3 linked regions of the Tamandua tetradactyla genome follow. The protein of the gene in region 2 interacts with the protein of the main gene of each other region in a pairwise test. Links are inferred from orthologs where the notes say so. Each region holds a gene or a part of one and is shown on either strand. Other genes may lie near its edges.

The links.
Region 1: the proteins of DISC1 (region 2) and FBXO41 interact in a two-hybrid assay, tested with the Homo sapiens proteins (2 studies listed by BioGRID and IntAct). The link is inferred for Tamandua tetradactyla from reciprocal best matches to the Homo sapiens genes DISC1 and FBXO41.
Region 3: the proteins of DISC1 (region 2) and BICD1 interact in a two-hybrid assay, tested with the Homo sapiens proteins (2 studies listed by BioGRID and IntAct). The link is inferred for Tamandua tetradactyla from reciprocal best matches to the Homo sapiens genes DISC1 and BICD1.

What each region holds. Positions count from the first base shown.
Region 1 is NC_135343.1:46,914,396-46,922,186, reverse strand, and holds the start of FBXO41 (F-box only protein 41), read left to right. Parts: upstream 1-4,784; coding exon 4,785-5,671; intron 5,672-7,774; coding exon 7,775-7,791. UniProt on the Homo sapiens protein: Substrate-recognition component of the SCF (SKP1-CUL1-F-box protein)-type E3 ubiquitin ligase complex.
Region 2 is NC_135333.1:1,469,666-1,477,578, reverse strand, and holds the start of DISC1 (disrupted in schizophrenia 1 protein), read right to left. Parts: upstream 3,098-7,913; 5' UTR 2,988-3,097; coding exon 2,115-2,987; intron 1-2,114. UniProt on the Homo sapiens protein: Involved in the regulation of multiple aspects of embryonic and adult neurogenesis. Required for neural progenitor proliferation in the ventrical/subventrical zone during embryonic brain development and in the adult dentate gyrus of the hippocampus.
Region 3 is NC_135333.1:95,344,221-95,351,593, reverse strand, and holds the start of BICD1 (protein bicaudal D homolog 1), read right to left. Parts: upstream 3,008-7,373; 5' UTR 2,495-3,007; coding exon 2,282-2,494; intron 1-2,281. UniProt on the Homo sapiens protein: Regulates coat complex coatomer protein I (COPI)-independent Golgi-endoplasmic reticulum transport by recruiting the dynein-dynactin motor complex.

The DNA of each region.
Region 1 (7,791 bases), on a different chromosome or scaffold from region 2:
GAATAAGTGTGAAAATTTCCATAATGAAGACTTTGTTTTTAAATCCCTGTCTTACTGTGCACACCAAAATTTCTAGTGGGTTGGAAATTAAAATGTATAAAGGGGAAGTACCAAAAGTACACAAAGTACTGCAGACAAACATATGTAGCTGTTTATATAATCTCTGATTAGTGGCAGACTTTCTAAGCCTGACAACAAAATCAGACATCATTCAGGAGAAGATCAATAAATTTTACTGAAGCAAACTTTACAACTTTAGCATATCAATAAAGACCATAAACAGAATTAAAAGCCAGTCAACAAATTTAAGAAAAATACCTGCAATATATAAATGAGAAACAAAGGATCAATACTGAAAAAAGCCTTTGCAAAACAATGAGAAAATATGAATACTCGGTATAAAAATAAAGCAGTGCAAAGGTAAGTCACCACAAAGATGCAAATGACAGATAAATATTTGCAAAAATGTCTAACCATAGTGCTAGGTCGGGGGAACGGGGAAAGGCACTGCAACTGGAGCTGCAGAGGCTGTGTCACCCTTCCCAACCTGACTTCCGGAACTAATGAACCGCCCCTTCCGGATGTTACCTGACCCCCATCCTTAAAAGCTGCCCGCGCTGAAGCCCATGTGCGGACTCACCTCTCTCCATCTTGGATGCGGTGAGCTCTACCCGGGAGCGCAGAAATAAACTCGCTCACTTTAAATTTCCTGGTCTACTTTTCTTCTTTTTCACCCTTTTGCCTCCTAAACCTTTCACATAGTAATCAAAGAAAGACAGGTGAAACAGTCTGGCCGTTATTCGCCTTCCAGTTGGCACCAGTACACTGAGGTCAAGTCGTGAGGCCCAGGAGTTTGGGTGCAGTTGATGGACAGTGGGCACCACTGAGGGAGTCTGAGCTGGAATCATTTGCAAAAAGAAGGCTCTCGTGCCTAAAGAAGGATGGAACAGAGCCATGAGGCGGAATGTGGAGCCAGCAACCCAGGTGTGGGGAGGCAATGGCCCAGAACAGCACGAAGCATAAGAGAAAAAAATAGTTCTGTTGAAGTATTCTGAAGGCAAAGTCCTCAGGCTTTGCTGGTCAACACAGAGAGAAACTCCAGATGGCCAGTGATGTTGTGTGGCAGGGAGGTCAGCAGCCCCACTGAAAGAAACAGGGATCCTGGGAGGGGGTGTGAGTGAGAGGAAGTCCAGGATTTATTTTTTGACACTGGGTCCTTGTGTTAATCAAGATTCTCATTTGCTTGTGACTGGCAACAGACTCAAAGGATTTACGCAACAAAAAGCATTTGCTGCCTTGCATAACTGAGAAGTCCTGGGTTATAGCTTAAGGCACATCTGGATCTGGGTACTCAAATGGTATCACTTCTTCTTCTGTTGTGCTTCAGGAGCACATCCCACCTGCCTAGCACATGTCCTGGGGTGGCAGGCACTGGCCCAGACAAGGGGTGACATGCCCATCAGGGAACCAAAGATGGAGGTTGTTGGCCCAAACCAAACAACATAGGTTGAAAGTCAGGGGAATCTAAAGGAAAACCAGGGATCTCTACACAGAAAGGGACTGAAGCCAGGCAGCAATATCATCCAATACCCACTACAATTCACCTCTTTGCTCCTTGAGAGCTACACATACCTACCCCCTTCCTTCCATTTCACATAAAGCAATTATCGCCCCCAAGATTAAAGCACATTAAATCCCATCTCCAGAGGGAGGGGTTCCAGGTCCCCACCCAGTTACCACACCCAGCCCAAGCCTGAGATCTCAGAATTAGTATGACTGACCTGCTCTTTGATTAGGTGCTAAACTAGACCCTCTTAGTCTTTTGGTTATGACCAGATTACAATGATGGAGGAAAAGTAGGATAACTGAAAAAAACAAAACCCAAAGGTGTGAACCCCTTATTTACGGTGCCTGGTGTTCAGTGATAAACCCCTTTTATTAGGCTCGTTTTTTCCTAATATATTATGACTGCCATTCCACATCCATAGAAATAAATATTTACTTGTCCATTCCTTAAAAAAAAAAAAAAAAAAACCTCCAAAATTGAAGAGGGAAGATAGGGAAAAAGAAGCCTCAGAGGTCACAGGTACATATCATAGACCAGGTCCTGCTAAACAAAATGCCCAGGGAAGGACCCTGCAGTGATCCTCCCACATGTGGCACCCAGGACGATGGACAAAGGAGACTCCCGAAGAGCAGAGTGGTTGGGTGAGCCTGGTTGGGTGAGTGTGAAGGGCCACTGAGGGGTCACCTCCTACTGGTGTGGGTTCTGGTGAGGTCCAGGGATGGAGTACCCCTGGTCTTTGTTTTCCAGGTTTGGGTTTCTTTCCTGGCAATATTAATTCGCTTAAACATTAGAAGCTTTCAGTCAATTTACATTTGGTCACTGAAAGTTGTAATTCTTGTATCAAGGGGTGGCTTGGGGGCAGGAGGAAGGGTCATCTCTTAGCAACAGGCTTCCACCCACCTCCCAGGAGCCTTTAGCTGTGTGGCCTCTCACTGGTCCCCTGTCGCTAAGTAATGCACACCCATAGTCTTGGATGGGGAGCTCCCTGGGCCCTACCCCTCAAGCTACATCCCAGCAGAAGGCTTTTATAATAGAGGCCACTGGGAAGGTACAGCAGGAGGGGTTGGTGGGGGCTGCTAAGGAGTCAGGCGCCTGTTAGGCCCCAAGCTTATCTCCCTCTGTGTTTCCAGCCTCCTAGTCCTTGCTTGAGCTGACTTTAGCTTGGAGAAGAGATCTGGCTCTTAATTACCTGATTCTCAGCCCTATTGGGTTACTGGCCTCAGGCAGAAAGGGCCTCTCTAGACAAAGCCAGAGCTTCTTCTTCTCTCTCTCAGATGGGCGCCTACGGCCAGAGAGTCTCCTTCTTGTAGGACATTACTGAAGGTCATGAAAAGTCCATACCCCAACATTCCTGCATTTTTCTACAAGTCCCCTAAAGTTCCAGCTCTGGTAGGTACATGGTCTGAACACAGAGGCAGTGGGAGACAGTTTAATCACTTGCTTTGCTGCTGAAGACAGGGTTCACCCATCTCAGGACTCTAATTGGCCAGACCTATGTCATGTTTTTACCCCTGGAGCCAGGAGTGGACCCTGGCTGATGTGGACTGAGAAAGTAGGGAAAGAAGGATGGTTCTCCAAGGTCAAAGCAGGATGCTATCACCAGGAGCAGGTGCCAGGCTGGCAAAGGGAGCAGCTGTCCCACCCATCCATCCACGTGGAATGAGCAGAAGGCAAATGGAACTGAGGAGTAGGTAAGGATGGAGAGACAGCACTGGAGTCATGGGCTTAGAGCTGTGAGTGGACAGACTGCCTGAAGAGAGGACTGAGGCAGAGGAGGCATGAAGGCAGACCTCAGTGAAGACCCCCATCAGGAGGCAGGAATTTTGGGGAGAACCAAGAGAAGAACCTAAAACGAGGCAGCATCACAGCACCCTGTGAAGATGGAGGGGTCAAAAGTGTCAACCAAGGGACAAAGTGGGCAGAGACCTTAGATGACAACTGGATTCGCTGATGAACAGGTAATCTGTGACCCCAAGGTCACAGTAGAGAGTGAAGTCCAATGGCAGCTGTTAGGAAGAGGAGGGCAGTGAGGACAAGTGTAGAGAGCCCTCAAGGCAGGAGAGGGGAGGCTGGAAGTCAAAGATGGAAGGGCTGGACAGCAGGGGTTGGGGGTTGATGAGGGGTGGGAAGGCCTGGGTGGGTTGGTGGCTTGTGCCAAAAGGGGTCTGGGGAGGATAGATAATGAGCCCTTGGGGCAAAGGGCAGGGTAGGGACATTTATTGGTGAACCACATATCGAAGAGATCAGAGAAAAGGATTTAGGTCCCTGAAGTGGCAGGGATGGGAGGGTGTGGTGCAGAAGCAGGGACCAGGCAGTGACACATGCACAGAGGTCATGGCAGGGGTGGGTGGGGTGGCATCTTACTTACAACATGGTACCAATAGTCCAGGCTGTGTGATGGATGTGGTTTGCACCAGATGGAAATAAGCATCCTCTTTTTAAGGATTTCTTTTGAGGTGTAACAAATATCCAGTCAGATACCATATAACATACTAACTTAAGTGTACTACTATATAGTGCACTAACTTAAGTGTACAGCTTGATGACTGTTTACATATGCATCCACCTGTATAACTCACTCAGGTCAAGATACAGAACATCCTCAGCATTGCCCCTTCCCAGTCCCATAGCCTCCAGGGGTAAACTATTCTGACTCTTGTCATCATCAGTTCTGGGTGCTGGAATCCTATATACACTCTTTGGTCAGGCAGATTTCATGCAACCTAATATCAAATGGATTCATCCATTTTGTGGCATGTACCTTTTCTCATTACTGAGTAGAATTCTATTATAAATCTACCACAATTTATCCATTCTCCCGTTGCTTCCAGATTGGAACTATTGTAAGTAGAACTAATGCTTCTTTTTAGGAAATCTTACTCTCGCACATGTATAGGCCCTCGCTGAGGTACCTGAACAGGCCAGCCCCCTATGGGAGGTCAGACCTTTAGTCTCCCCTAATTCCTCCATTCTGAGCACGTATTTCCTGGAAGGTCAATATCCTCACCGCAGATGGGGACGGGGGCTTGTGGGGGAAGCTGCGACCCCACCCTCCTAAGACTCATCCTCTCTCTTCCAGCCTCCTTGCCCCCGGCCGCGGGCGCCCTGAGCCTTTCCGGCCCCGCAGTGGGGCTCCCCGGCGGCCCCACATGAGCGCGCCCAGCTGACCGGAGGGGCGGCCGCCGTGGAGCCCGGGCGCAGAGGGGGCGGCGGGGCCATGGCCTCGCTGGACCTACCCTACCGCTGCCCGCGCTGCGGGGAGCACAAGCGCTTCCGGAGCCTGTCGTCGCTGCGCGCTCACCTGGAGTACAGCCACACGTACGAGACGCTCTACATCCTCTCCAAGACCAACAGCATCTGCGACGGCACGGCCGCGGCCGCCTCCGGCTTCCCGCTGGCGCCCGAGCCCGCCGCCCTGCTGGCTGTGCCTGGCGCCCGGCGCGAGGTCTTCGAAAGCACGTCCTTCCAGGGCAAGGAGCAGGTGGCCGGGCCGTCGGCTGCAGCGCCTCACCTGCTGCACCACCACCACCACCACCACGCGCCCCTCGCCCACTTCCCCGGCGACCTAGTGCCCGCCGGCCTACCCTGTGAGGAGCTGGCCGAGCCGGGCCTTGTGCCCGCCGCCGCGCGGTACGCGCTGCGTGAGATCGAGATCCCGCTGGGGGAGCTGTTCGCGCGCAAGTCCGTGGCGTCCTCAGCGTGCTCGACGCCGCCGCCCGGGCCCGGGCCCGGCCCTTGTTCCGGGCCCGCCTCCGCGTCGCCCGCGTCCCCGTCTCCTGCCGACGTGGCGTACGAGGAGGGCCTGGCGCGCCTCAAGATCCGCGCGCTGGAGAAGCTGGAAGTGGACCGGCGGTTGGAGCGGCTGAGCGAGGAGGTGGAGCAGAAGATCGCGGGCCAGGTGGGCCGGCTCCAGGCTGAACTGGAGCGCAAGGCCGCCGAGTTGGAGACGGCGCGACAGGAGAGCGCGCGGCTCGGACGGGAGAAGGAGGAGCTGGAGGAGCGCGCTTCTGAGCTCTCGCGCCAGGTGGACGTGAGCGTGGAGTTGCTGGCCTCGCTCAAGCAGGACCTGGTGCACAAAGAGCAGGAGCTCAGCCGCAAGCAGCAGTGAGTGGGGCCGCCGGGCCTTTGGGGGTGGCCCGTGAGTGTTTCTGAGTGAGCGTCTGTGTCTGTCACTGTGCCACCCCCACCGTGAGCGGGGCTGCGTGTTGGCAGTGAGTGGGTATGTCTGTGCCTGAGACCAGGGCTTTGGAATATGGAAGCTGTGGCGGTGAGCTTGTAATGGAAGTGTGTGCTAAGCGAAGAGTGAGTCTGTGGCAGTCCGGGAAGACTGTTTCTTTTCCTTTGCTGTCATCCCAGCCAAAGACAACCCCTGCGTTTGTGCACCAGATCTTATTTTCCTTAGCGGACTCAGTGACTTGGCTCAACTCTTCCCCCTCTTGTCCATCATCAGATTTTCCCTGTCTGCCATATTATTCCTAAAAACATGCCCACGTGATGTCTTTTTTCCCATCTGTCTTAGCCCCACTATCCCCTTAAACTACTGGCCTATGTCTCTCCTCCTTAAAAGTATTATTTACACTCCTTGTCTATGGTTTCTTTCCTTCCACTCTTTTTTCAATCCATCCTAATCAGGTTTTGCCTCCACCACTGTCCTTGACATCAACAATGAGGCCACATCACCATCTTACATTGGATACAGCTGACCCTTGAATCCCATTCACTTGGGTTCCAGGATGCTCTCCTGGGTTTTCCTCCTCCTATTTTTCTGTCTGCTCCTTCACAGTTGTCTTTGCTGGTTCTTCCTCATTTCTCTAGCACTTAAACGTAGGAGTTGTGAAACATGGAGGTGTTATCTGTCCCCAGTGTGATATAAGCTCCATGGGGCAGGAATTGTTCTCTATTTTCTTTGCTGCTGTGTCCCTAACACTTAGAACAGTACCTGTTGCCTAGAAGGCACAGGAACTGGTTTCCTGTGGTTGCCATAACAGAGTACCGCAAACTAGAACAACAGAATTTTGAAATTAGAACAACAGAAATTTGTTCTTTCACACTTCTAGAGGCCAAAAGTCTGAAATCAAGGTGTTGACAGGCCTGGTTCCATCTCGAGGCTCTGAGAGAGAATCCTTCCTATGCCACTCTCTTAGCTCTGATTGCTACCAACAATCCGTGGCTTGTCGCTGCGTCACTGCAACCTCTGCCTCTGTCTTTACTTGGCCTTCCCTATGTGTCTCAGATCTCCCTTCTAAGGACATTTAGGGCCTACCCTATGTCCAGGGTGATTTCATCCTGAGAGTCTAAACTTCAGTATAACTGGAAAGACTGTTTGCAAATAAGGTTGCATTCATAAGTATGGGGGGTTTGGACATGGACATAATTTTGGGGGTGGAGACACAGCTCACCCGGCCACAGTGTTGAGTAAATGTTGAAGGAACAAGTACGAATGCACTTGGGAGTGAATACTCACTCAGCTCTGTCATGTCCCATGTTTTCCTGTAACTCTTGGAGGCTGGTGCGTGCCTCTGCATCTGCGAGTCTTTCTCTCTGGGTTGATGTGACCTAACGTGGATTTTTGAATGCTTGTATATGGCTGAAAAAATGTCTGAGCATATTTGAATGCCTTTGAGCCCCACACTCAAAGGGGCATACCCAAGAAAGACTGCAGTATGGCTACACGTGTGTGAGTGTGTGGGGCTGCCCATGGAGTTGTGCATTGGGCTTTGTTGGAGGGTGGGGTGGATGGGTACATGTGTGTGGCTATGTGACTCTGAGTACACACCTGTGAGTGTTTCTATGTTGGGAGATTGTGTGACTGAGCACATCTGACTGAGCACATGCATTCTGAATGTGCAGTGGATGTGTCTAGGTATGGTAGAGAGCTGGGTGGGCCTGGATGTGTGACCGTGTGTACCCGGCAGTGTTTCTGGTGGGAGGCAGTGGCTGTGTGTGGCAGTACAACTATGGGGAGCAGGGGGCTCTTACTGTGCGTCTTGCTGGCTGGATGAGGCAGCCATGTGAGTGAGCCTTTCTGGGTGTGACAATGTCTTGTGCCCAGTGTGCCTGGGCTGGTGTGCACATGCCTAGGTGACCAGGTGCAGACAGCTGCACACAGCCATGTTCAGAGTCTCTACCCCCAGGCCAAGGTCTTTCGGCAGAGGGTGGGTGGGCAGCCAGGCAGAAGCAGTGGGTAAGAGACTGCTCCGGGCCCAGGGAGGTGGTACAGATTG
Region 2 (7,913 bases):
CCAAGAAGGCTTTCTCAAACCTTCAGGTCCTGGCTCATCCAGGAGTTCTGTCCCACGATATCAGAGAGATTTACACCCCTGGGAGTCATGTCTCACATTAGGGGGAAGGGCAGTGGTTCACCCGCTGAGTTGTCTGTGGCCTATCTTCCCACAATTAATTATTTCAGTAAAATAATATTAATCAAGCACTTGCTGAGGACTGGGAAGTAATTTAGGTATCAGACATGCAAAAACAACTAAGAGAGGTCTTAGTTAGTCAAGTGGGGAATTGGGACCCATGAACAAATTATTACTAAATGTGGTGGGTGCTACAATGGGGCAGTCCAAAGTGCTATGGGAATGAATTGGAAGGAGGGACTTCTTTGGTCTAGATGGGGTAGGAAATGTCTCAGAAGAAGTGGCAATGGAGCATCATTGAAAGTGAAATGAAGGAACTTAACAGATGGAAAAGTAAGGAAAGGTCATTCTTGGCAGAGGCAAAGCCATGAGAAAAGGCACTGAGGGACGAGTCCCTATGGTCTTACAGAGAACGGCAAGCAGTGCCCAGTGGCTGAGGCTGGCAGCTGGGGGCAGATTGGGACAACTCTTTTGATTGTTGGAATAAGATGCTCAGATGTTATCCTGAGAGCAGCAATGAGCCTCAAAGCTTTTAAGCTAAGGAGTGGCACTGTGTCACCTATGTTTCAGGAAGAGAGGTCTGCAGGTCAGTTGTGGGATGAATTGGAGAAGAGAGAAACTGGAGGAGGTTAAACATGTTAAGAATCTCTTGAGAAACCCAAGTGAAAGATAACACAGACTTGAGCTAGGAGGTGGCAGTGAGAACTATCTTAGTGGTGGAAGTGAGAGGACTTGGAGCTTGATCAGATGCAGGGAGGGAGAGAGAGGAAGGGTTGACGATGACTGAGGCATTGGATGATTCTATTAAATCAATCAGCAAATATTTATAAAACATGAGGCACTTCCGGACAGGCTTGGTGGGAAAGGTGATGGCGTCAGTGTTGGGCATGTCCAACTCGAGGACTGCGCATATCATCCAGGAGCTGCCTCTCTGCCCTGGCTTCACAGTCTCCCTGCGTCATAAACGAGATGACTGGGCTGAGGTCTCTGAGGGCTGGATTTGGGCAAGAAGGAATGAGGTTAAGATCATCAAGCTCCAGGTAAAGAATTGAAAGTAAATAAGATAGGATTTCTGGGCATGAAAATGAACTTCCACATTTTCAAATACTTCTACCAAATGTCTGATGAGTGGGTGTTCACTTCCCTACCTGTCATGCCCACTCACATTTACATAAAACATACACACACACACATCAGAAAAAAAAATGCAGTCCTTCAGTGGGTCAGCCCTCCAGTCCAGTAGGTGAGCCATAAAGTATCTCTACCTGGGTTCCTCTGGGAATCTTTTTTGGGTAGAACCGCCCTTCCCCTCCCAGCTCTACCCACCACTCAGATAGCTAGATGGACAACAATCCAGTAATGCTACAATTTACATCTATGCATTTCTTTCTAATTTCCAACTACTGTTGTTCTCATTTGAGACTCAAAACCATCCTATGAGGTATTGTCATCCCCACTATCTAAATAAGGAAACTGAGATTCAGAGAAATTTAATGACCAGAAAATAAATCTCCTAACTGTATATAGAACAATTTCCATTGCCGCAGGATGAAATGAGAGGAGTAAATACAGATGAAGATTGAAATTACCCTGAATGGAAAGCATCACTGTTTTCTTCTCACTCAACCCCTTCCAAACACCAGCTCAATCTTCCCTTCCCCTGTCTCCATTTCCTGTTTCAAAATGAGCTAGGCTGAGCCAACCATGTCTCACCAAAGCCAGGGACTGCAGAGGAACCTATGGGTCAGCAGAGAGCAACTCGGAGCATCAGAGTCACAGGGAAGATCTAAATGCAAACAGATTTGTGTCTAAACTGAAAAGGAAGAAACAGAAGTGCAGTCACATCTTTTTTGCAGCCAGCCAACACGTGGAGCTGCTGTGGCTTCCGGGAGGGGAAGTAGGACAACACAGCACCCAGTCATTTCCTGCCCTTTGTCCAGTTGCTAATCTGAGTTTTGGACAATCCTGTGGGGCTCAGAGGGGGAGGGGACACCAACCTTCAACTGCTTCTGGTTGCTCAGCAGACACTCCCGCAGCACAGGCTCGTATTTCTTGATCAGGGTGTCCCAACCGACATCATCCCCCAAGGGGCTGTCCTCGCAGGCAGAAGAGCCAGGCAACAAAGAATCCAGGGAACAAGGGGAGGCAGCATCCGTGTCTAATAAAGAGAGCGTCTCACACTCCGGCCTGGGGCTGCTCTGTGCAGTCTGGGCAGAGTCTGCCAGGCCCCAAGTAGCCTTGAGATCGAATGGCTGAAAGAGAAGTGGAGGGTCCTCTTGGGGCCTCTCCGAGCCGGCAGCTTGGGCTTTCATCTCCTCGGAGCCCTGGCGAGGTGCCTCGGCCTCCTTCGATGGAGGGCAGCCTTCTGCCTCTCCACGTTCCCCAGCGGAGTCAAGGCAGAGCCTTATGAAGCTAAAGCTCGAGGTAAAGACCTCATGAGAGCTGAAAGGGGCCAAGGGGGCCTTAGGGCCACTTCCCCAGCTGCGGCTGTTGCTCTTCGCTCCCTTTGGAGCCAGAGAGCTTGCTGCCCCAGCACCCCTCACTCCTTCACCATAGGCTGCATCCCGAGTAGGGCCTGGGACGTCAGAACTCTTCATGGATGGAAACTCTCCCTGACACCCAGAGTCCCCAGGGCTGCAAGACCTGGTTAGCCAGTTGGGAGGTTTGGTACCAGCTCTGAGCTGAATTTCAAAGCGCCCTGAGGTTTCTCCTCCTGGGGTCAGAGCCATAGGTATCCCAGCTGGGGCCGCAGTGCTTCCAAGTGAGGGGTCTGGCCACTGGCTTCCAGAGTCCCGGCTGCCCTGTCCAGCCTGGAGCTCAGAGTGTTGGTGCTCCCCGCCGCATGCCACTCCCTGGGCACCAAATAGCATGCCAACCACCGGGGAGAGACATCCAACCCGGGGTCCAGCCGTGGTTCTCAGGTAGCCTGGCCTCCTTGCCAGCCGCGTCTTCCCAAAGGATGCTGCAGGTGGTAAGCCATCCTGGCTGCCTGAGAAAAGAAAGAGGACATGGCACCATAAACATTCAACCCTCACAGGCTCAGCTGCAACAGCTTCTGGAGAACAACCCCAAGTTCAGGGTGCTCTCTCCCTGCACACCCCTGGGGTTGACTGCCAAAAACAGACAGATGCTGGCTCACAGCTTTGAGGGGCCTGGGTCAGTGTTTGCCTTGGAACATGCAGAAAGGAACATGGCATCTCGGCTCCCCTGCCTCCCAGGGCCGCTGGCAATGCTGTAAATTATGCCAACAGGTCAGCATGAAAATTGGAGGCACAAACTTGGCTGCTCCTTCTGAACCCTCTGCAAATCAGCACTTTCATCCCAGAGTGGGCCTGGAAAGCAAGTGATTTGAAACCGGAAAGCCACAACCATGAGTCAATCATTTATTGTAGCTACTCCTCTGTGAATTTCAATGATTCCTCGTTGCCTGGCTGTGATCACAGCTGCATTGCATATGCCTCTCAATTCATCTGGTAGATTGCAGGAGAGCCCCGGGTGGTGGGTTCTCTAGAGCAGAGGCTGTGTGACACTCTCAGCTAGAGGACAGGAATGGTATTGACAAATGCTGACACCTGATAGAGGTAGTACAGTGGAGCAGTTGACAGCAAAGACTCTGGCACTGCATTACCTGGTTCAAACCGGGGCTGCACCACTTGCTAGCTGGGTGACCTTCAGCAAGCTTTCTTTACCTCTCTGTGCCTCAGTTTCCTTATCCGTAAAATGGAGATTTTAACAGTACCTTGTTCTTTAAAGAGTGTTAAACTAAATGAGTTAATACATGTAGAGAGCTTAGAACAATGCCTGGTACACGTAAGTGTTAAAAAAAAGTGTTAGTTTTTATTTTTACATTGCATTGTACCTTACTAGCCATATAGCATTTTCACCTACATTAAATTCATTTGCTCCTGCCCATGCCATGTGAATCAATCAATTCATGGTTGTGTGGATGAGCCAGCTCAAGTGCATAAAAGTAAGACAAGAGTTCACTGAACACAACTCTAGTTAGACAATAGCCTGCAGCAAGAAGTGGGACAGAGCTTCACTCCATGTCCAAAATCCTTCCCTCTGCCTGTTAGAGCATACACAAACCCAGGGTCTTTGTCAGGTTTAGACATTTAACCATGGTGCTGCACAAGTGCCTGGATGGATGTCAATGATAATCCTGTACTTTGCCACCTGGAAATATAAGCATTATAGCACACAACCACCCACTCCCTGACTTTGAGCATTTGGAGATGAGATGACCCAAAATATATTCACCCAGTGACCTGCTCTCTGCTAAATGGGGTATGCCAACTTCTGGGGACCCCAGGAAGAGTGATACTTCCCAGTATACACTGGCTTTCTGGAAGCTTGCAGTTTTGCTTTGCTAATGGCTGCTGAAACACAATATACCAGAAAGAGAAGAGCTTTTAAAAAGGGAATTTATTATGTTACAAGTTTACAAGTTGAAGGCCATAAAAATATCCAAACTAAGGCATCCAGAGAACGGTACCTTGACTCAAGAAAGGCCAATGTCTGTCACATGGAAAGGCACATGGCTGGCATCTGTTGGTCCTTATTCCCTGGTTCCATTGCTTCTAACTTCTGATGCAGTGGTTTCCTCTCTAAGTGTCTGTGGGTCTTCAGTTAACTCTTCCAGGGCACAACTGTGGATTTAGCATCTCATGGGAAAGCCCATGGTGATGTCTACTGGGCTCTGTATCTCCAAACATCCATGTCTAGGCATCGGCACTCCAAGCATCTCCAAATATCCGCATCTGTGGGCTCTAAAGCAATTGTGTCTCCTGGGGCTTCTGCATTTCCAAACGTGTGCATCTGCATCTGAGGTTTTTCCAAAATGTTCTTCCTTTTAAAGGACTCTAGTAAACTAATCAAGACCCACTTTGAATAGGCGGAGTCACATCTCCATCTAACCAAAAGGCCACAGCCACACTTGGGTGTATGGAAACAGTCCAATCAAAGTTTCCCACCCTAAAGAACAGGTCTGGCCCACAAGATTGGATCGGGATTAAAGTCTGGCTTTTCTGGGATACATAATCGTTTCGCACTGGCACACTTGCAGTGAAGGGAGGAATGAAAATAGTTTTAGCCAGGAAGGAAGTAAGAGGAAAACAGGTAAAGGAAGGGAGGGAAACAGTACAGGAGCTAGACCTGGGAGACAGGCCCCGTTCTCATTTTATAGACAATAAAATCAAAGCCAAGAAAGCTTTAATTTGCCCCTGAATTCTCAGATAACAGACTAGCAGAGCCTGGTTTTGAAGAAAGGCCCATCTAATCCCAAAGTAAATGCTCCTTCTACTTTACCTCCTACTCTATCAATTGGGATGATAACTTAAAATGACAGGATGGCAGATGTTTTTTCTTTTTTCTTCATGACAGAGTCCAAAGGAAGAACAGCAGAGAAGGATATGATGAAAATGTACAGAGGGAATAATTAATAAGCCAAATGGGGTGTCTATGCACTGTGGTCCGACAGGGAGTTCCCACGTCCTCTTTGCCAAGTATGTCATCCTAGGGAGACACGACGTGCCCTGCCGTGTCTGGGACCCACCAGCAGGAAGAGCAGGAGGAAGAGGCTGTGGGAGGAGAGAGGGTCCACAAGGACTAATTCTTGTCTCCCCTATAAAACTGGCAAAATATTTTCTAATGAACAATGAGTCCAAAGGAAATAGAAAAGAATATTGAATTCTGGCTTCGATTGCTGAAGGAAAACAATTCAACAATTTCATATCATGAAAAATGAATCCAGTGAAATCTGTGTTGTCTTTTGGCTAAAAGCTAAAAGCTATCAGCACAATGCCGAGAGGAAAATAAATTCGTTTGCAATTTCATTTCTTTTAAAATGCCTGAAGGCACTTAACCAAGGGCATCTGAAACTCCCCCAGGCCAGGTTCCAGTCGCTTGCACAAAGCAGTTCCCCGATGGGACCCAACGCTTCTACTGAGGTTCGTGATCAGCAAGAAGCAATGAGCAACAGGCAGTGAGGACGAAAGTACAGGGTTTCTCAAAAGTGCGGGGTGGGGGCAGGCCATGATGACTCAGCAGGCAGAGTTCTTGCCTGCCCATGCAAAAAGATTTTAAAAAAAAGAAAAAAGTGGGGGGTTGAGAGGAGGAGGGCTCCATACACAGATGAGCCGCCTCCTGCACCCCACCTGAGCACTCATGCACCCCTCCCAGAAGCGGTCCCAAGAAGTGAGACCGGGGCAGCAGCAATCCTAACCCTCAGGAGCGTAGGAGAGGGCACGAGGGGCCACAGAGGGGCTGACAGAGCTGCGATCTGGAGGGGGCCTCTGCAGTGGGGCTGCTTCCCACCCCTCCACCTCAACCCCCTTTGGAAATTTAAGGCAGGACCCTGACCAGAAATAAATGATCACTTATATACCCTGCCTGAAATCTTGCCTCTTGGAGTGGTTGAAACACCAAGCCATCACACTCTGAAGTTAGGGAAGGTTATCATTTATTCAGATCTTAGAGAGAAAGATTCCTTCTTAACACCTAACCAGTATCAGCTCCGACGGAACCAAGGTTTCCAAAGAGCAGGAAGAAGAGCTTGGTAAGGGGGCGGCAACACCCGTACGGTGCAGGCAGTCTTGAAAATTTGCCTGGGAAACCACCCTTCTCTTCTCTGTAAAGCCCAGAGGTGGCCTTTGTTCGGTCTTTCCAGCCTGCAGAGGGTGACGGGGGAGAGGGGAGCCTCAAGCAGGCTGCTCGGTTCCTCGTGCTCTCCCACCCCACACCAGATTCTAGGCAGAGAAGCGCAGACGTTCTCCTTCCCGTCCATTATCGCAGACCAGCTGCGGGTCCCTGTTGACACGCACTCCCCACCCCGCCCCTTCGCCCGCCCCGGGAGTCCTGAAATTGAAGGGAAGGAAGGACAAGAGCCTGGGATAGATGCAGACGACAAAGGTCCTCTCCGTACAGTGCAGAGAGGGCGCCCGGAAGTAACCGTTTACCTGGCTTAGGGGAAAAAGTGGGGGAAACCTATATTAATCAGCCAGATCAGAAAGAATTCTGCCTGTCTCTAATACTCTCCCTTTCTTCTGCCCAAACCCTTCCCACCCTGCAGCTTCCAATTCTTTTCCCCATCAGCTACCTTTTCCCGATGTGCCGGTCTGAATCTGTGGTGGACCCCAGAAAGGCCACGCCCTTTGACCCTCATTCAGTATTGCTGGGTGGGAGCATTTTGATTGTTTCCATGAAGATGTGACCCACCCAATTGTGAGTGGTAACTGTTGATTAGATGATGTCCATGGAGGTGTGTCTCCACCCACTGAAGGTGCAGTTGCTTGCTGGACTCCTTTAAAAGAGGAAACATTTTGGAGAGAGTCCCTTTTTTGGTAGAGCCACGTGAAAGCCAGCAGGTGTCACCGTGTTCACCATATGCCCTTCCAGCTGAGAGAGAAACGCTGAACGTTGTCAGCCTTCTTGAACCAAGGTATCTTTCCCTGGATGCCTTAAATTGGACATTTCTATAGACTTGTTTTAATTGGGACATTTTCTTGTCCTTAGAACTGTAAACTAGCAACTCATTAAATTCCCCTTGTTAAAAGTCATTCCATTTCTGGTGTATTGCATTCCGGCAGCTAGCAAACTAGAACACCTGATCACCCAGTTCGCAGGCCCTCAGCCCTCCAACCCCATCACTCGAGGGGAGCCAAATGCTCATTTCCCCCATTTATTATTAATACCTAGTACGGTTACTTTCTTTGATATATATGAGTTGTTTCCAATTTATACTCTCTATATATATTACGCTGCCTGAGGGTCGTATACCCCCAGAAAGTCTAACATAC
Region 3 (7,373 bases), about 94 Mb from region 2:
CTCATTTAAATAATATTCTCAACTAAAGTCTACATCATGTGTAAATGATAAAACTAACAGGTCTCACTAAATAATAAAGTATAATGATTATTTTATGGTCCCTAAAATTTATTTTTATATCATTGTTTGAGGCACTTCATTAGGAAACTTAATCTGAACTACTATATTAACACAAAATACAACTAAAAATACATGTGGGTATCATTTGGTAAAAATAACCCTGGTAAATTTTTATTAACCTCCTACTATAAAGACCAAGATATGCTTTACAATTTTATAGAAAAAAAACTGTTATATCATTCCCACAAAACATTTTCTTGCATTTTTCTCATTACTGCTGATGAAATTAATTCAGGTCATTTTAAAAATATTCACCACTTCCTAATTTTCTTAGTCTCTCTATAACAGTAATATTGGCTAGTGAGTGCCAGAGAAGCATACATCTTCTTCCAGCACAAATTTATTCTTCCATAAAATATTCATAAAATATTTACAGCATGCCCACTAGATGTTAGGCTTTGTGCTAGACTTTGGATGCAAAATAAATTAAGACCTAATCCTTGCCTAAAGATCTCATGGTATACTAAGGCAAAAGACAACTGTATCAAGTTTATTATGTAGGGTAAATGCAATGACACAGGGTTATTCCTGGAAGAATTTTTTAAATCAAGCAAAATGGTCAGGTAACTGTTACACTCCATTTTATTACGTCTGTCCCCTTAATCAAGGAGGCGATGACTTCACACTGGCTGGTTTGCACTTCTCTGACTTGGCAAAGCAATGATGACAGGTGTAGACTCTGAGAATTACAATCATCATGCTGTTTCCTGACTTCAAAAGTTTTAGCATCACTAAATTTAAACATGGCAGCCTAAAATCTTCTCTATTTTGGAAAATATAAACATATAGATGTTTTGTTAAGAATATACATAGATGGTAAGAAAAATCATAAAATTTACAGCCTGATGCACAAGAACGGGATTTCTAATTGGGGTATTTACTGTATGTACCATATTTCTTTTTTGGCATTTAGGCATCAGAATTAAAAAACATAAATGTTTACCATATTGTGTAAATATGCTAAGAAAGCAAGTTGATTAGATATGTCATAAATCATGTCTTTTAACTGTAACAACACAAAAGAAGACCTAGCTTTTCTGCTAAGGAAAAAAATAGTTTGAGTACATTACTAAAGAAAGGTTTTTGATATTTTTTTATATCAAATGAGAAATAACATTTGAAACACCAATAAGTGCCTAAAAATAAAGACTTGCCTCACAGAAAAGCAGAGTGTACATTTAAATTTATAACCGGTTACTTGCCTCAGAATCAGATAAAACAGCCTGAGTTCCTTAAATAATATGTGTATTGTATTGACAAGAAATTAAAGCATAATGACTAATTTCTTAGACGGTCTTCAAAAGAAGCCAAACGCACAAAGACTAAAGAAGGCAAGTGTTAATACACGGCCTATTTGTGATACTATGTTTTTATAAATACAATTGTTTCAACCCAAGAGCCTCATGTGAAAGCAAGGCTACCCATGTAAGCAGGTGTTTTGATATATAACACTCTTTCAGACCATTTGTAGGTGAGCTATATTTTCTCTGGTCAGGGTGACCTCATAACTCTTGGGCATGGCCCGGCCTCACTCCTAGGTGAATACAAGGCAGCAAGCATCACCCTAGGAAAACTGTTGTGTGTTTTCTCCCCTGCAGCCTGATGACAAGAATGACTAAAGCCAAGAGGAATGAAGATTGCCCAGCCTTTGCAAAATAGGATTGCTAAGGAGTTCTCCTAAAAACAGTACCCTCTCTCCCCAAGGAGGAGTTACATTCAGCAGAAAGCTAAGGTACCATAAATCCTACATGCTGAAATTGTGGTTCCTCACACAAACCCACTCACCACCTTTGTGGACTATGGGATTGCCACTGAAACCTGGGCTGGATATAACAGCAGTTTTGAGAAGTTGGATTGATACATTCCAACCCAGCTGAATGTGGCTTTAGTCCTGGTACTTGAAGGCTCTTATGAATCTTCCTCCCCCACAGCCCAAACAACCACTGCCTCCCAAATTCCAGTTTATACATTCATTTCCTAGGCAATTTTTCTCTTGGTGGTAAGACAATGGACCCTTTCAGTTTTCTCTCATCAACAAAGGGCTCTAAGATGAAGAAACAAGTCTTTTCAATCACATCCTTTCCGACTTCAAAAAATGATGAGCGGGGACTGGGGGCGGGGAAGCGGGGGCCGAGGAGGGGAGAGGTGACAGACAACTCACCTCTTTCAACTGCTCGAGCTCCTGTTTGAGACTGTCGTACTCAGCCTCCAGCTCATCATACTGCTGTTTGAGGGTCAGCTTCTCTTCCAGCACCACCAGCCCGTACTCGGCAGCCTGGATCTTCTCGTGGGTCGTCTCCGTGAGCTCCTTAGTCAGCCTCTCTATCTCAGTCTTATAATGGTCCACCGTCTGCACTACCTCTTCTGCGGCCATAGCCCTGGTCGATGGAGGCAGGAGGGCAAGTAAAAGCAAGCGGGGGATGGAAATGGGGGAGGGGGTAAAAATGGAAAAGAAAAAGTGTGGCCCGATGAATGGGTGCCCTGACTGCTCCTCGGGCAGCAGCAGCTACACTGCCCGAGAAACTGACAAGAAATGCAACATGGAGAACGCAGGGGAAGAATCGGGGGCGAGCAGGCAGCCGCTGCCGCCGGCGTCCTCTGGGCCGGCACCGGCGTGCGGTCAGTAGCCGTGCGGCATGGCCTGGGCTGCGGCGGCCGGGGGCAGCGAGGGGCTCCGGATTCTGCTTATTCAGAGGCGCCGGGCCGCCATGTCTCCCGGGTAGCGTCACTGCAGTCTCCCCTCTCGGTCTGGCGCGCTCCGGCTGGTCGCTCGCTTGCTCGCTCTTCCCACCTGCTCCCTGTAGCCCTGCTGCAGCCTGTGCGGAATGATGCAGTCTTGGGGCCCGCTCCCTCCCTTCCCGCCTGGCCCCGGCTCCAAGCAGGGGGCGGGGAGGCGGATGGAGTCAGCGCGGGGGGAGGAGGGAAGGACCAGACGGAAACATCCCGAGGCACCTCCCGCCGGGCACACGGGGCCGCGGGGCGGCACCAAGGGGCGCGCAGCGCGGAGGCGGCGGGATGGAGCCCGGGAAGCGGCGCGGCCTCCGCTCGGCCCGCCCGGGGCTGGAGTTCCTCCCCAGGGCTTTGATCCCGCGGAAGTCGGTCCTCACAAGACTGGCACGGGCGCCCCAGCTCTCTCGCTGCGACGTGCCCCGAAGCTCAGGACACTGCCTGGAATCCGCGCCTTCAGCAAAGAAAAGCAGTAATTAGCGCAGTCCCGGCCCGCGCTTTCTTCTTACCTCCAGGGCTCGCAGCATCCTTTCCCGGCCTCCTACAGCAAAACGAACACTGCTTCCAAAGCCTTCCAGACGCGCCCCAGGGCGCCCGCGCCCGCCCCTTGCCGCTTTCCTCTCCCTATCTTCCTCCGTTCCCTCTCGGCCTCTCCTGGTCCACCCCACACTCTCGCCAAACAACTTTATTATCCTTCAGGGCAGTCTTCGCTAAAGATTGATTTTCCTGGCCAAAGCTTTTCTATGCCCAGTTTATCCAACAAGATAACTATCAACCAGAAATATATTCCCATGCACTGGTTAACTTGTCGGTGCCCTTATTTCTTGCCCTGATAGATCTTAATTCGAAGTACCGTACTCCGTGGATTCTTCAATAAGGGAAAAATGCATGAAGGTGAAGAGAGTACTGAAATCCCCTATACATAAGGTATCAACAGTACTCTAGAATAAACATTATTATAATAATAAGAGCTAATAATTACTGAGGCTTACCATGTGACAGGCGTTCTTCTGAGTGATTCTCTCTAATCCTAACAACCCATTAAGGTAGTAACCATTATCCCCAATCTACAAATTTTTGGTGAAAGGAAGGGACTGGGAGATTCGGTGATTTGCCCGAAGTCAGGCAACTGCTAAGTAGAAACGCCACAATTTTAATCATAACTCCACAGCCCTAAACTGAACCTTAATAATGTGTAGTTCATCTTCACTCATAACTAATAGAAGCCCAGTAACTAAATATTGTAGGCTTTTAAGGAAACCGCATTACAAGTTAATCAACATGTAGAATGATGAGGGAGAGTCACAAAAGGAGGTAAAGGGGAAGTCAGAGCAGAAGAGAAGGAGTTGAGAAGAGATAATAGAGAACAACCAAGAGGGAAGGAAGTAATAGAGTGAAACGGGGAGGAAAGGAGGGATTTCTGAGTAACCGGAAGGCTATGGAATCCACAGAAGATGATTCTGACCAGTTCCCTTCAGCCCCACTAAGGAATAACAGTTATCGGAGGGCTATTTCTCAATGGCCAGGAGATGCCTCAAAACACACATGGGAGCTTTCTGAATCAGAAAGCAGTACTCAACTCTTCCATTATAAATATAAAGAAAAAGTAGTGGCTGATGGCTGGCGCAGGAGGAAGAGCAAATGTCAATGCCCTTTCAAAGTCTTCACTGACAGGCTTTCTAGATGTGATTTTCATTGCCTCAAAAAACAGACAAAAAGTTTCATTCTAAATACTAACAATCAGCAGAATATGTCCCTTGTGACTATGTGCTCTAAAAAAATAATTAAATAAAATGGAGAAAACACATGAAACATGTAACCACCATGAATTCCAAGCTCTCAGAGAAGCAGTAATGCCATTCACCACAACATTCCCCCAATATTTCTTTGATCTCACACTCCATTTGAAAAGCTCCTCCTGTAGCACCTGTCGACTGTCGCGCTGAAGAATATCATAAACTGCTGAAGAGATGAATCCTGTCATTGCAGGTAGCTAACCTGTCTTCTTCACAGTATGCCCGTGGCTATTCTTCACTCCACACAGATCTGAGAGGATCATAATACTCAGAATATTATGATTGTGTCTTCCTCTTCTTTGGATAGAATTAGGAATGCAGTTTCACTGTGACTTTCCTTTTTTTGAGTGTTCATTGCTGCCCATTCCCTGTGCTCTATCCTACCCCGATTTTCTTATATTTTGTTAATACATTCAGTCTGACTTTATTCAGACATCTACACTATTCTAACACTTTAAATTCTTGCTTTTTACAGCTTTGATACTTTATATGCTGATATTTAACTCAAAAAAGGCAAACTTATTTCCTTATATACCCCATTCTTCCAGTAGTACATAGTTAGGAGTTACATTTTCTCTCTTTCCTCATATTTTATATATATATAATATATATATATATATGTATGTATGTATGTATGTATTATGTGCCGGTTTGAAGCTCCAGAAAAGCCATGTCCTTTAATCCTCATTTGGTATTGCTGGGTGGAATCTTTTTTATTGTTTTCATGGTGATATGACCCACCCAATTGTGGGTGGTAACTTTTGATTAGATGGTTTCCATGGAGCTGTGTCTCCATCCATTCAAGAAGGGGTTACTCACTGGAGTCCTTTAAGAGGGAACCATTTTGGAAAAAGCTTGAGAGCCACCAGAACCAACAGAGCCCATGCAGCCAGAGACCTTTGGAGTAAAAGAAAAATACCCCCAGGAAAGCCTTAAGAAATGAGGAGAGAAAGTTAGCAGATGTCATCATGTGTTTTTCTAGCTGAGAGAGAAATCCAAAACGTCATCAGCCTTCTCAAGCCAAGTATCGTTCCCTGGATGCCTTAGATTGGACATTTTTATAGCCTTGCCTTAATTTGGACATTTTCACAGCCTTCAAACTGTAAACTGGCAACTTAATAAATTTCCTTTTTTAAAACCTGTTCCATTTCTGGTATATCGCATTCTGGCAGCTCTTTCAAACTGAAACTTATTATATATATAACAATTCAGTGACAGATATCTAGAAAACAATCTCTAAACCATTCCTAGAAGCAGGGTTCCATCATTTTTCTCTATTCTAATAGCCTCCAATTACTTACAGAATGTTCTTACTTGCAAATGTTTATTTAAACAAAATTGTATTTTGTGGCCTAGTACCTTAAGTCAATCTCTCACCATTTTAGTCTGCATAGATTCTTCTTTATCTTGCTGTCATTTATTCATTCATTAAACAGATGTTTATTATGTATCTATTATGTAGTAGGCATTATAGTAGGCATTTTGAAATCAATAACCAATAAGATGTTACTGGTTAATGGTCCCTGATCTCATGGAACTTATGTTCTGGGAGGGACACACAAAAAACAAGCAAAAAGACAACAAACAAACAAACCCAAACAGACAAATACATAAAATAATTACAAATTATAACATTAAAAGGCATGTTAGCATAGTGGTTACAAGTACAAGCCAGTCTTCTTGGGTGAAACTTACTTTGCCACCTAGCTCTTTGACCATAGTCAAGTTACTTAACGACTCTATGCCTCAGTTACCTCATTCTTCAAAAGGAGATAATCAGATAATCTACTAATGAGGTTGTTGTGAAGATTAAATGAGTTCACAGAATACTGCTATAACGGAAAAATAAGGATTTAAGGGATGATTTTGATTACTGAATCATATCCCTTTTTGCTTTCTGGAATATTGGAGTAGACAGGGGAATACCTGAAATTCCTAAACTGTAAGTCAGCTGCCCTGATATCTGAAATAGTGTAATAGCATTTGTCTCATGCCTTTGTAGCTTTGAGAGTTGTTACACCCTTTATTTGATCATTTTCTTGGAGGGCAAAGGCCCTAATGCTACTGAAGTCAGCCATTAACGAGCCTCAGCCCTGAACATTTGTAAATCATATCAGCTAGATTCTGCTTTTGAAAGATAACTTGTCTCCCTTCCTTTTGGCTTACACTTTTAGTACTAAAATAGTAGCTCTGCCTCCCCTCCTTTTAGTTTATCTTCTCCTATTGAAACGATAATAACATTGTCTCCTCTTCTGCTTTGAACTTACTGTTCGGAAAAAAACCTTGAACCTCCTAAACTCAGGGTGACAGATTTCGTGCTGCTAGGCCATCTGCTGTCCTACTACACACCTAGTAATAAAATCTTTCTCTCTTTGAAACCCCGATATCTCAGCAATTAGTTATTGAATGTATCGGACAAAAAAGTCCACTGCCTTTGTCCAGTAACACTGCCTGATACCCAATAAGCAGTATACATGTGTCTGTTTAAAAAACATTTCTGAAGATGAACAAGAATATGTTGAGATAGGTGAAATAAGATGATCAGTACAGACTTCTCTGAAGAAATGGTATTTATACTATTAACTAAGCACAAGAAGGAATTGGATATACAAAATATAGGGGAAGAGCTTTCCAGGAAAGGAGAAGAGAGTGTGTAAAAGACAATGACACGGTGCAAGGGTAGTTCAGAGATAGAATTCTTGCCTGCCACGCAGGAGACCTGGGTTTGAT